3 linked regions of the Rattus norvegicus genome follow. The protein of the gene in region 1 interacts with the protein of each later gene in a pairwise test. Links are inferred from orthologs where the notes say so. Each region holds a gene or a part of one and is shown in the gene's direction. Other genes may lie near its edges.

Region 1 (3,654 bases):
GTATGTGTATTATAGGCATGTGTGTATAATATACTATTGTCTTTCATCATAATATCTAAAATTATAGTGATACTGGTTGTTGTCAGACCTAAGAGAGACCCCGGATTTTTTGGGTGCTATAAGACATTTTAAGAGGATAGATAATTTCAAATAGAAAAATGAAATTTTTGTATAATTAGTCTGGACCGTCAAATACTTCACCTTGAAACTCAAGTGTTCAGAAGTGGGTTGTTGTTGTTGTTGCTATTGCTGTTGTTGTTGGCAGTGGTGTAGACGTGGGTGTTTTGTGTTTTATCTAAGTTATACATCAACTGATCTTAAAATACACTAGTTAAAATTCTTCAGGACAGGTCACTGTACCAAAGCTTGTGATTTCATTCTCATGGTTCTTTATTCAGACGCCATTAAACTGCAGCTGGTTGAAGCAGGTTTGGTCGAGTGCCTCCTAGAGATTGTTCAGCAGAAGGTGGACAGTACCAAAGAGGATGACCTTGCTGAGCTCAAAACTGCTTCAGACCTCATGGTTTTATTACTTCTTGGAGGTGAGTCTTGACTGCTGCCGACCAAAGGACATGGTCAGCAGGTATTTTAGACCTACTGTGCCTTTCGTAAACAACACTAGGCCTCTCCTTACTTTCCTGTCCTGTTTACTGTTACTGCAATGGTTTTTTTTTTCTTCTTTTCTTCTTTTTCTTTTTTCTTTTTTTTTTTTCGGAGCTGGGGACCGAACCCAGGGCCTTGTGCTTGCTAGGCAAGTGCTCTACCGCTGAGCTAAATCCCCAACCCTTACTGCAATGGTTTTGAAACCTTGTACACACCATGAAAAGTTAAGTCCCTGCTGTCTTCAGTACCTGAAGACCTGTCATGAGCACTGAAGGCAGGCTGGCCCTTGGAAACTTGGGCTACACAATTCATAAACTTCAGTGTCTAAATGCTACTAATAACCAATTACGAGATGTCTACTTTCCCCGTTGGATATCCACGTGGGAACATGGGTTTGTCACTCCTAATCATAGTTCCTTATTTAACGATTTGTTTCATTTCCCTGCAGATGAATCCATGCAGAAACTTTTTGAAGGAGGAAAAGGCAGTGTGTTCCAAAGGGTGCTCTCTTGGATTCCATCGAATAGCCAGCAGCTGCAGCTTGCTGGGGCATTGGCCATTGCAAATTTTGCCAGGAATGGTATGCACATTAGTTACTCCATGTGGATGAGACGTTCTGCATTTCTTAAGTGTCTGCTTATCTGTCACATCAACAGTGCTGCGTTCAGAAATGTCTACGTGTTGTTTCCTCAGTCCTTTAGAAGTCTTTACTGACTTACTAATATATGACATATTTTGTATAGCAATCTGAATTCTGATGTAGAAAGATCCGTGATCGTGTGGTGGTTTTGAATACTCGGTGCTTCAGGTTTAGGGACCTTGAGCATATCCATCTAGTGGGATCCTTCCCCAGTTACGTTATCTTGGCTGTAATAATCTGAGTATTCACTTTTGTGTTATTGCGTTATTTCCTTACATCTGTACTTACATATCAATAATCCTGTGGGTGTGCAGTATTTAGTTTAATAATCTTTCAAAGGCACTGGACCTTGTGAAATCTGATACTCTTGATAGCTAATCTCAGAACTCTTACTATGTCTAGAAAATATGGACTGTGTTTCTAGTTCAATTTGATTCCACTGTAAACTATTCATATATCACAGGTTGAGTGCCCCTTAGTCCAATATGCTTGAGACGTAAAGTGTTAGATTTTCTCAGGTTTCGGAATATTTATATAGGCATTAGGCAGTGTCTTGGCCAGAAGGCCAGCTCCCAAACATGAAATGTATCAGTTTCCTGTACAGTTGATGCATGTATCCTAAAATTCGTTTAGATGGTATTTTTAGTGCATCCTCACTGTGACTGGTTGACCACATAAATTCAGTTTCAGGTTCTACTCCCAGGGTCATATTTGTCATTACCCGAATATTTCAGACTTAAGGTTTTGCTTCAGGAACGTTTGACCTTACAGACGATCATGGCTGACTTACTTTGTCTTCCCTTCTCTTTAGAAGAACAATAGTTCTTTGGTAAAGGCCTGGTGTGGGTCAGTGGAGAGTGTAAAAGAGTTAGTGCCATAGGATACTTAGACACTTTTTTTTAACGAAGGAGGAAATTTGCCTTTGTTTTGCGTAGATGGGAATTGTATTCATATGGTAGACAATGGGATTGTAGAAAAACTCATGGATTTGCTGGACAGACACGTAGAAGACGGGAACGTGACGGTACAGCATGCAGCACTGAGCGCCCTCAGGAACCTAGCCATTCCAGGTAAGCAGCAGCATTTGTGTGGCTCATGGACCTCCCTGGCAGCACAAGGGGGAGAGCCTGCTGTGTGGTACCTGCCTTTAGTCCCAGCCCTTGGAAGGCAGAGTGGTTGAATGGTCAGTCTTATGTAATTAGTGAGTTCCAGGATTGCCGGGGCCACGTGGGTGTCTTAAAGGGAGAGGAGGGGCTAGGAAGAGTCTTTAAATTACTCATCTTGTTCCTGGCTAAGAAATGGAGACCATATGTTAAAATGTGTTTTCTGCGACAATACAAACCGATCTCATAAGACAGCTAGAAGAATTTATCACGTTTATGAGCGCCTCGATTTTCTTTAATGACATGCGTAAACATTCTTAGATATGTTCAGGTGAAGTCAGATATGACATATATGAACAGAGTCCACTAAAGAATCAGTATAAAGGTCGGGGGCTCTTTTTTGATTTTTTTTTTCATCCCATAAGCAGATACATAGTTTTGAAAAGGGCCTTGATGTATCTTTGGATCAACAGTTTTGAGCCATGGGGAAAACCATGCAGATGATTGCTGTTTAATTCTTTTATTCCCCTGTCGAAACTTAAACTTCTGACAAATCAGTGTAGTGACAGGAAGCCCCAATTGAAATGGTTCTGATTTGTTTGCATATCATCAGCGTCTAATAATGTCTGTCACATTTGTATTAGTACAGTTGACTCAAATACGGCAATAAAGAAAAGCACTAGAGTGAGTGCATGAGTATTTTACAAAATGTAAACATTTTCAGATTTATTTTACACATTTTCTAATTAAATGCTTTAAAATTGTGTTTAAAAAACCTAGAATGAATTATGACTGCTATGTTCCTGTAAACAGGATACTTACTTGCATATACCCAATCTCATGTTTTATTTGTGCCCCACACACACCTTGGGCAGGGGAGTTGAGACAGGCTGTATCCCAAGTTAGTCTCAAATTCAATATGTAGATTATAAGGACCTTGAATTTCTGATTCTCTTGCCTCAACATCCCACGTTCTAACTGCTGGCATAACCCAACATGCCCAACAGCCCCACCCTTAGCATTTCCAAATAGAAGTTATAAAATGGGGCCTTAACGCCAGTAAGTACCAGATGTGTGTTGAATGAATGTTCCTCGAGAGTGTTAACACCATTTTAACCATAGTCTCTTTTTCTTTCTAGTTGTAAATAAAGCAAAGATGTTATCAGCCGGGGTCACAGAGACGGTTTTGAAGTTCCTTAAATCTGAAATGCCCCCAGTTCAGTTCAAACTCCTGGGAACGCTAAGAATGTTAATAGATGCACAAGGTAAAGAAATGGTTTCCAAGTCACGTTCTTGGTGCAGTGTTCT
Region 2 (3,654 bases), on another chromosome or scaffold:
GTTTTGTGCCCACTAACTGAGCCATCCTCACAGTTCCAGACAGTTGTCGTTGTTGTTGTTGGGTTGTTGGTTTTGGTTTGGTTTGGTTTGTCTGAGACAGAGTTTTTCTCTGTGTAGCTCTGGCTGACCTGGTATTTGGAGATTCTCCTGCCTCTGCTTCCCAGGATTAAAGGCACCTTTACCGAGCTGCCAGACTTGTATTTTCAAAGAGCTGGTCTGCAAACCAGCGTGTGCTTATAATCCCAGCACTTGGGACGCTGAGACAGGCCTATTAAAAGTCTGGGGTCAGCCTAGGCCATAGAGCCAGACCCTGTCTCAAAAACAAACACAAAAGGCCGGTGGGCTGGTGGGTAGGGAGCAAACAGTAAGGGGTTAAGTGTGAATACCCAGGGACCATCTAGGAGGTGGGGCCAGTCTCCAGGCAACAGGATGTGGGTGTGGACTAAGCCTTGCTGACTGACAGGCTGAGGAGCACAGGCATTTAGGCTGTAAAAGTGAGAATGCTTAGAGACTGGTGGAAGTGAGGGTTTGAAGAGTTGCCTGAGGCCCAACATGGGCCCCCACCTGACAGACTCCAGACTCTAAACTGCTGCTTCCGCCTGTGGAACGGCTGAGTCCTCTCTCACCTGGAGAGAGAGTCTACTGGGAAGAAGCAGAGAAGACAGAAAACCCCCCTGGGTATATCCTCCTGCGGAGGGCCAGGCACTATGCTAAGCACATGGCATGGTTATGTCATTTCATCCTCCAAGGACTGGGGGTTGGTAGCAGTTGGTGCTATTAGTCCCACTTTACAGATGGGGAAGCTGAGGTCTAAGGACTGGAAGTGACTCCTTAGGTCTCACAATCTTAAGTTGTTGGAGGAGCCTGCAGCAGAGAGTTGGTTAGTGGACTCAGTGAGGAAGCTGGCGCTGGTAGGAGGAGCTACATGAGCAGAGGCCGGGAAGAGGGATGTGTATGTTTGCAAATGTGTTCACCTAATAGCTGGAGTCTGGCCTGGTTGGAAGGCTTACCATGGAGGAAGTGGCATTGGAGAGACGTCCTCTGAGGTCATCAGGGTCAGGTCAGGAAGGGTCTCAAAGTCCAGCTGGAGGAATAGGTTCTTTTCGGAGGCTCTCAGAGCAGTTGATTTTTCGGAGGCTATCAGAGCAGTTGAGGGCCACAGTCAGATATTGGGAGCAGCCTTGGGTTCTCAGGTGGGAGGCAATTGTAGGAAGCTAGAAGAAAGAACAAGAATCGTCAGGGAGGGAGCCAGGTCAGACTAAGCACCCTCTGAGCTCAAGTCCCCTGCATCAGTGGCACTGAGGACAGCACAAGGAAGGAGGTGAGGGCTGACCGTTCTGCACTCTGTGACTCTATGAAGCTGTCTTGCTCCCTCTCTGCCTGCTGTACTGACCTTTTACTTCTGCCTGGCCCTCCATGCTCCCTCTCTACCTGTACACCTGCCTGCCCTACTGACCCCTTACCTCTGCCTGGCCCTAGATGCTCCCTCTCTTTTGCTCCCCAGACACACATCTCTCTGGGCTCTGACTTACTAGAGCTGGTGCTTGTGTTCGCTTTTGTATTTGTTGTCTATATGTCCACAACTGTGTCTGTGGGATTTCTCTGTCCTCCAGCCTATGCAGAAGTGACCTGTACCCCGCTCTGGGGAGGCTTCTGGGGATACAGTCACAGATGAGGCTAGAGTTGTGGGGTAAAGAAACTGGGATCCCCATGTGCTGGAGACTGGGATGGGAGAGCTGGAAGGAGGCCATTGCTCCTTCACCGAGTAACAGACACTCCTTCCCCGTCTCTGACTCCCCCTCCCCCCCTCCCCACCAGCACAGGCATAGCTGTCCCAGGACTCTGCTAGGGGCCTGGTAACAACTCCTAGTCTCTTAAGGTGAAAAGGGCATCTGACATCTCCCTCCCTCTCCCTTCTTGGGTTTCTGTGGCTGGAGCAGGCCCCAGCTGGAGCCACCGTCCCACCCAGGAGCCGTCGGGTTTGCCCTAAGGTCAGGTGTACGAGCCTCTCATGGAAGCCCTGTAAGGTTGAGAGGCGGATCTGGGTAAGTGTGAGCTCAGCCCTTCCTGCCTCCTTTCTGGCCATCAGGATGAGCCTCCAAAGCCTCCTGTCCCATTCCTTCTGTGTTCGTGGACTTCAATGGCTCTCCTTTCCTCACTGGACCACAGCCCATGAAATCTGGCTAGACTTGCTTGTCACGTCACCCCTGTGCTCAATGTTCCCTCTGCTGCTGCTGCTCTGGTTCTCGCTTCATCCTGCTGATTCTCATGCAGTCTCTCCATTCACCTGGCCAGCTGATCCTCATCCCTAAAGAACTACCTCAAAGGCTGCCTGCCACCTCCTCAATGAGGACTTCCCAGGGCTTCAGGCACTGTCATCCAGGACACAGTCCTCTGCCACTGGTTTTTAGCCCTGGCTTCTTTCCTGTCTGAACTGGAACTTCCTCCAAGGCAAGGACCAGGTCTCATTTGCTCTGCCCAGTTGAAGCCCAGTATAGTAATTCGTGTACAGCATGTGTTCAATCAGTGCCCAGTGATGGGGACCGTCTGTCCTTAACCCCTTCATAAGGGACTGGCATAAGTAGGTCACTGAATGAGTAAGGAAAGAAAGGAAGGCACTTGTCTGGATCTGTCCTTGCCTGGATGTTTCTTGGAATCAAGGTGTAGTCGTTACTTTCCTTACCACTATGATCAACTAACTGACAAGAAGCAACTGAAGGAAGGAAAGACTTCTGCTGGTTCCCAGTTTGGGGGCATACTCCTCCACGGGGGCAGGCATGGTGATAATTTGAGGCTGCTTGCTCACATCTGGACAGAGGAAAGGGAATGCCAGTGTCCGGCTGCTTTTTTCATTTTCAAAATAGTCTGGAACCTCAACCCTAGGGTAGTGGTCTCCCATTCAGTGGGTCTCTCCTCTTTAGTTAAATCTCTGGAAACACAGCACAGACATCCCCAGAGGTGTGTCTCCCATGTGGCTCCAAGTCCAGTCAAGTTGACAATGAAGATCAGCCAGCACACAGGTTATGGGCCCCTACTCTTTCTCTGTCTCCAGGGCTCAGTATAGCTTGGTCTGGTATAAGTCGACATGGGAGCTTATGGTCTTAATGGTCAATTGCAAACTCTCTTCTTACTCAGTGATGCTGTGTTTTAGAACCACTTAGGGACCATACAGCAACAAATGCTGATATCCTCTGAGTGCTGGAATCTCCTAAGTCCTGGGTGGGGTCTAGGAACTATGCTATATTTATTTTTTTTTAAGATTTATTTAATATATATGAGTACACTGTAGCTGTCTTAGACACACCAGAAGAGGGTATCATCTCATTACAGATGGTTGTGAGCCACCATGTGGGTGCTGGGATTTGAACTCAGGACCTCTGGAAGAGCAGTCAGTGCTCTTAACCACTGAGCCATTTCACCAGCCCCATATGCTATATTTATATGCATATAAATATTTTTGTGGTGCTGGGGACTGAACATGGAGCCTCACACATGCTAGGCAAATACTGCTTCTAATATTGAACTCTATATATACCCCTAGCCCGGAAATCTGCATGTTCAAGACTAACTCCTGGGTTAGGGCTCTCAGTGGTGGAGTACATACTCAGCATGTGTAAGGCGCTGGGTTGATCCCCAGTACTGGGGACGGGTGAA
Region 3 (2,723 bases), about 37 Mb from region 1:
TTCATTGAAACCTCAGCCAAGACCCGACAGGTATGCTAGAGACTTGAGCAAGTGTGAGTGTCTGTTTAAAGCAGAGATGTGTGACTGGTCACGTGTGGTAGAGATGTAATCTGTGTTAGTTATGATGAGTTTTGGGGGTAGTGGTTTCTGTATGGTTGGTCTTTGTTTCTTGTTGATCTTTTCCCCTCGTCCCCCAACCCTGCTCCCCTAAACAAAAGGAGCACTACCGTACTGTGGGATTTCTTTCTTTCTTTTTTTTTTTTTTAAGATTTATGTATTTATTATATGTAAGCACACTGTCGCTGTCTTCAGACACACCAGAAGAGGGCATCAGATACCATTACAGACGGTTGTGAGCCACCATGTGGTTGCTGGGAATTGAACTCAGGACCTCTGGAAGAGCAGTCAGTGCTCTCAACCTCTGAGCCATCTCTGCAGCCCTACTGTGGGATTTCTAGTTCTGCCTTAACAGGCTCAACTATTCCAAGATTAAACAAACTTGTCAAGCGTGAATCCTTTTTTCCATCAACACTTGCCACTACTGAGGAAGGAACTTTACTGGAGGGACTTCTCATAATTGGCAGTTCTGTACTCTTTCCCCACCTTGTCCTTTTCTCTTTGTTGGACTATCTTTGCTTTTTATAAAAAACATGGCAGTTATCAGCCCGTCAGTGGGGTCCTCTAGGTGTGCTGGGTTTAGTGTCTTCCTGAGTCCCCCAGTTAATGAGCTGTTGAGTAGTATCAAATCCACATAGAGAGGTGGAAATGAGAGCTTACAAGTTGGACTGTCCAGTGTTTGTTTGTTTTGTTCTTCTTTACCCTTTTTCTTTTAACAGGGTGTGGAGGATGCCTTTTACACGCTTGTAAGGGAGATACGCCAGTACCGGATGAAGAAGCTCAACAGCAGTGAGGATGGCACTCAAGGCTGTATGGGGCTGCCCTGTGTGGTGATGTAGTAAGGTGAGTGTGTGCTCCTGTCCTAACTATCTCCTGCTTAGCACTAGGCAGCTCAGAATAGTGTGAACACTACTGACTCTTGCAATTGAAGTGAGAGTTTTCATATATTTGCAACTAGAAAATAGCTTTACTGGTACGTAGCTCAGTAGCTAGGAGTACCTCCTGCTCTTTTAGAAGATGTGATTCATGTACCAGCGTCCATGTTAGGTGGCTAATTTTCCTCATTGTACCCTGTCAGGGAGTGTTAGCATCTAATTCTTTCAGCATGTCTTCTACAGACAGCTTCCTATTTTGAGTATTAGGAATTTTAGACCTGCATGTGCCATGTTTGTGGAGTGGACACATTGAAGACACCATACTAAGGATTGACACTATAGAAACTAAATGACATGGTGTTCTTTTGTTCTAGACCCTTTAAAAGTTCTGTCATCAGAAACGAGCCACTTTCAAGGTAGGACAAGTTCGAAATGTCCTGACTGACACTGAGTTTTTTGCTCTTGTTTCTCTTACCTTCTGTCTCTGTTTCAGCCTCACTGATGCCCTGGTTCTGACATCCCTGGAGGAGACGTGTTTCTGCTGCTCTCTGCATCTCAGAGAAGCTCCTGCTTCCTGCTTCCCCAACTTAGTTACTGAGCACAGCCATCTAACCTGAGACCTCTTCAGAATAACTACCTCCTCACTCGGCTGTCCGACCAGAGAAATGAACCTGTTTCTCCCCAGTAGTTCTCTGCCCTGGGTTTCCCCTAGAAACAAACACACCTGCCAGCTGGCTTTGTCCTCCGAAAAGCAGTTTACATTGATGCAGAGAACCAAACTATAGACAAGCAATTCTGTTGTCAACAGTTTCTTAAGCTCTAAGGTAACAATTGCTGGTGATTTCCCCCTTTGCCCCCAACTGTTGAACTTGGCCTTGTTAGTTTTGGGGGAAATGTCAAAAATTAATCTCTTCCCGAGAATAGAATTAGTGTTGCTGATTGCCTGATTTGCAATGTGATCAGCTATATTCTATAAGCTGGCGTCTGCTCTGTATTCATAAATGCAAACATGAGTACTGACGTAAGTGCATCCCTAGTCTTCTCAGCTGCATGCAATTAAATCCAACGTTCACAACAAAGTGCCTTGTCCTAACAGTGCTCTGTAGGCTTCCGTTATAGTTCGTATTGAAATAGATGTTTCAAGAACCATTGTATAGGAAAGTGACTATGAGCCATCTACCTTGGAGGGAAAGGTGAATCTACCTGATGGCAGATGCTTTATATATGTACACATATGTACACAAAGACAGTTTCCCTGTTTGCGGTTCTCCCAGGAGAAAGAGGGAACTGAAACGATTATGACTAATTTCATTTAATTCTAGCTAATCTTTTTTTTTTTTTTTTGGAGGGGGGGAGTAGGTTACCACCTATAAATATTTGTAATTTCTTCTAGCTTACTGATAATCTAATAGTCAATGAGCTTCCATTATAATAAATTGGTTCATACCAGGAAGCCCTCCATTTATAGTTAGTCAGATACTGTAAAAATTGGCATGTTATTACTTTATACCTGTGATTAATGATTCTTCAAACCTTAAATATAGTTATTAGCAGGCAGGTTATATCTTTGCTGCATAGTTTCTTCATGGAAAAAAAAAATATATATATATATGGAGAGAGTGGCCCTCAGTTCCCATCTCACCATCCCTCTCTTTCAGCCTAGATCAGTTCAAGCATCCTATAGGAGCTTGAATAATTATCTCAGTTGAACAAACCATGGTGCTAATGGAC

The links.
Region 2: the proteins of Rap1gds1 (region 1) and Plekhb1 interact in binary tests that used the Homo sapiens proteins (3 or more experiments, as listed by UniProt). The two-hybrid records come from large-scale screens. The link is inferred for Rattus norvegicus from reciprocal best matches to the Homo sapiens genes RAP1GDS1 and PLEKHB1.
Region 3: the proteins of Rap1gds1 (region 1) and Nras interact in binary tests that used the Homo sapiens proteins (3 or more experiments, as listed by UniProt). The link is inferred for Rattus norvegicus from reciprocal best matches to the Homo sapiens genes RAP1GDS1 and NRAS.

What each region holds. Positions count from the first base shown.
Region 1 is NC_086020.1:230,192,921-230,196,574, reverse strand, and holds part of Rap1gds1 (rap1 GTPase-GDP dissociation stimulator 1), read left to right. Parts: intron 1-398; coding exon 399-542; intron 543-1,051; coding exon 1,052-1,183; intron 1,184-2,178; coding exon 2,179-2,313; intron 2,314-3,485; coding exon 3,486-3,611; intron 3,612-3,654. UniProt on the Homo sapiens protein: Acts as a GEF (guanine nucleotide exchange factor) for the Rho family of small GTP-binding proteins (G proteins) that stimulates the dissociation of GDP to enable subsequent binding of GTP.
Region 2 is NC_086019.1:164,415,120-164,418,773, reverse strand, and holds part of Plekhb1 (pleckstrin homology domain-containing family B member 1), read left to right. Parts: exon of another isoform or gene 1-1,073; coding exon of another isoform or gene 1,074-1,214; intron 1,215-1,940; coding exon 1,941-2,045; coding exon of another isoform or gene 2,046-2,312; exon of another isoform or gene 2,313-3,654. Other genes in the region: Rab6a (ras-related protein Rab-6A), read right to left, coding at 1,074-1,214.
Region 3 is NC_086020.1:193,277,036-193,279,758, forward strand, and holds the end of Nras (GTPase NRas), read left to right. Parts: coding exon 1-30; intron 31-836; coding exon 837-956; 3' UTR 957-960; intron 961-1,366; 3' UTR 1,367-1,408; intron 1,409-1,485; 3' UTR 1,486-2,071; downstream 2,072-2,723. UniProt on the Homo sapiens protein: Ras proteins bind GDP/GTP and possess intrinsic GTPase activity.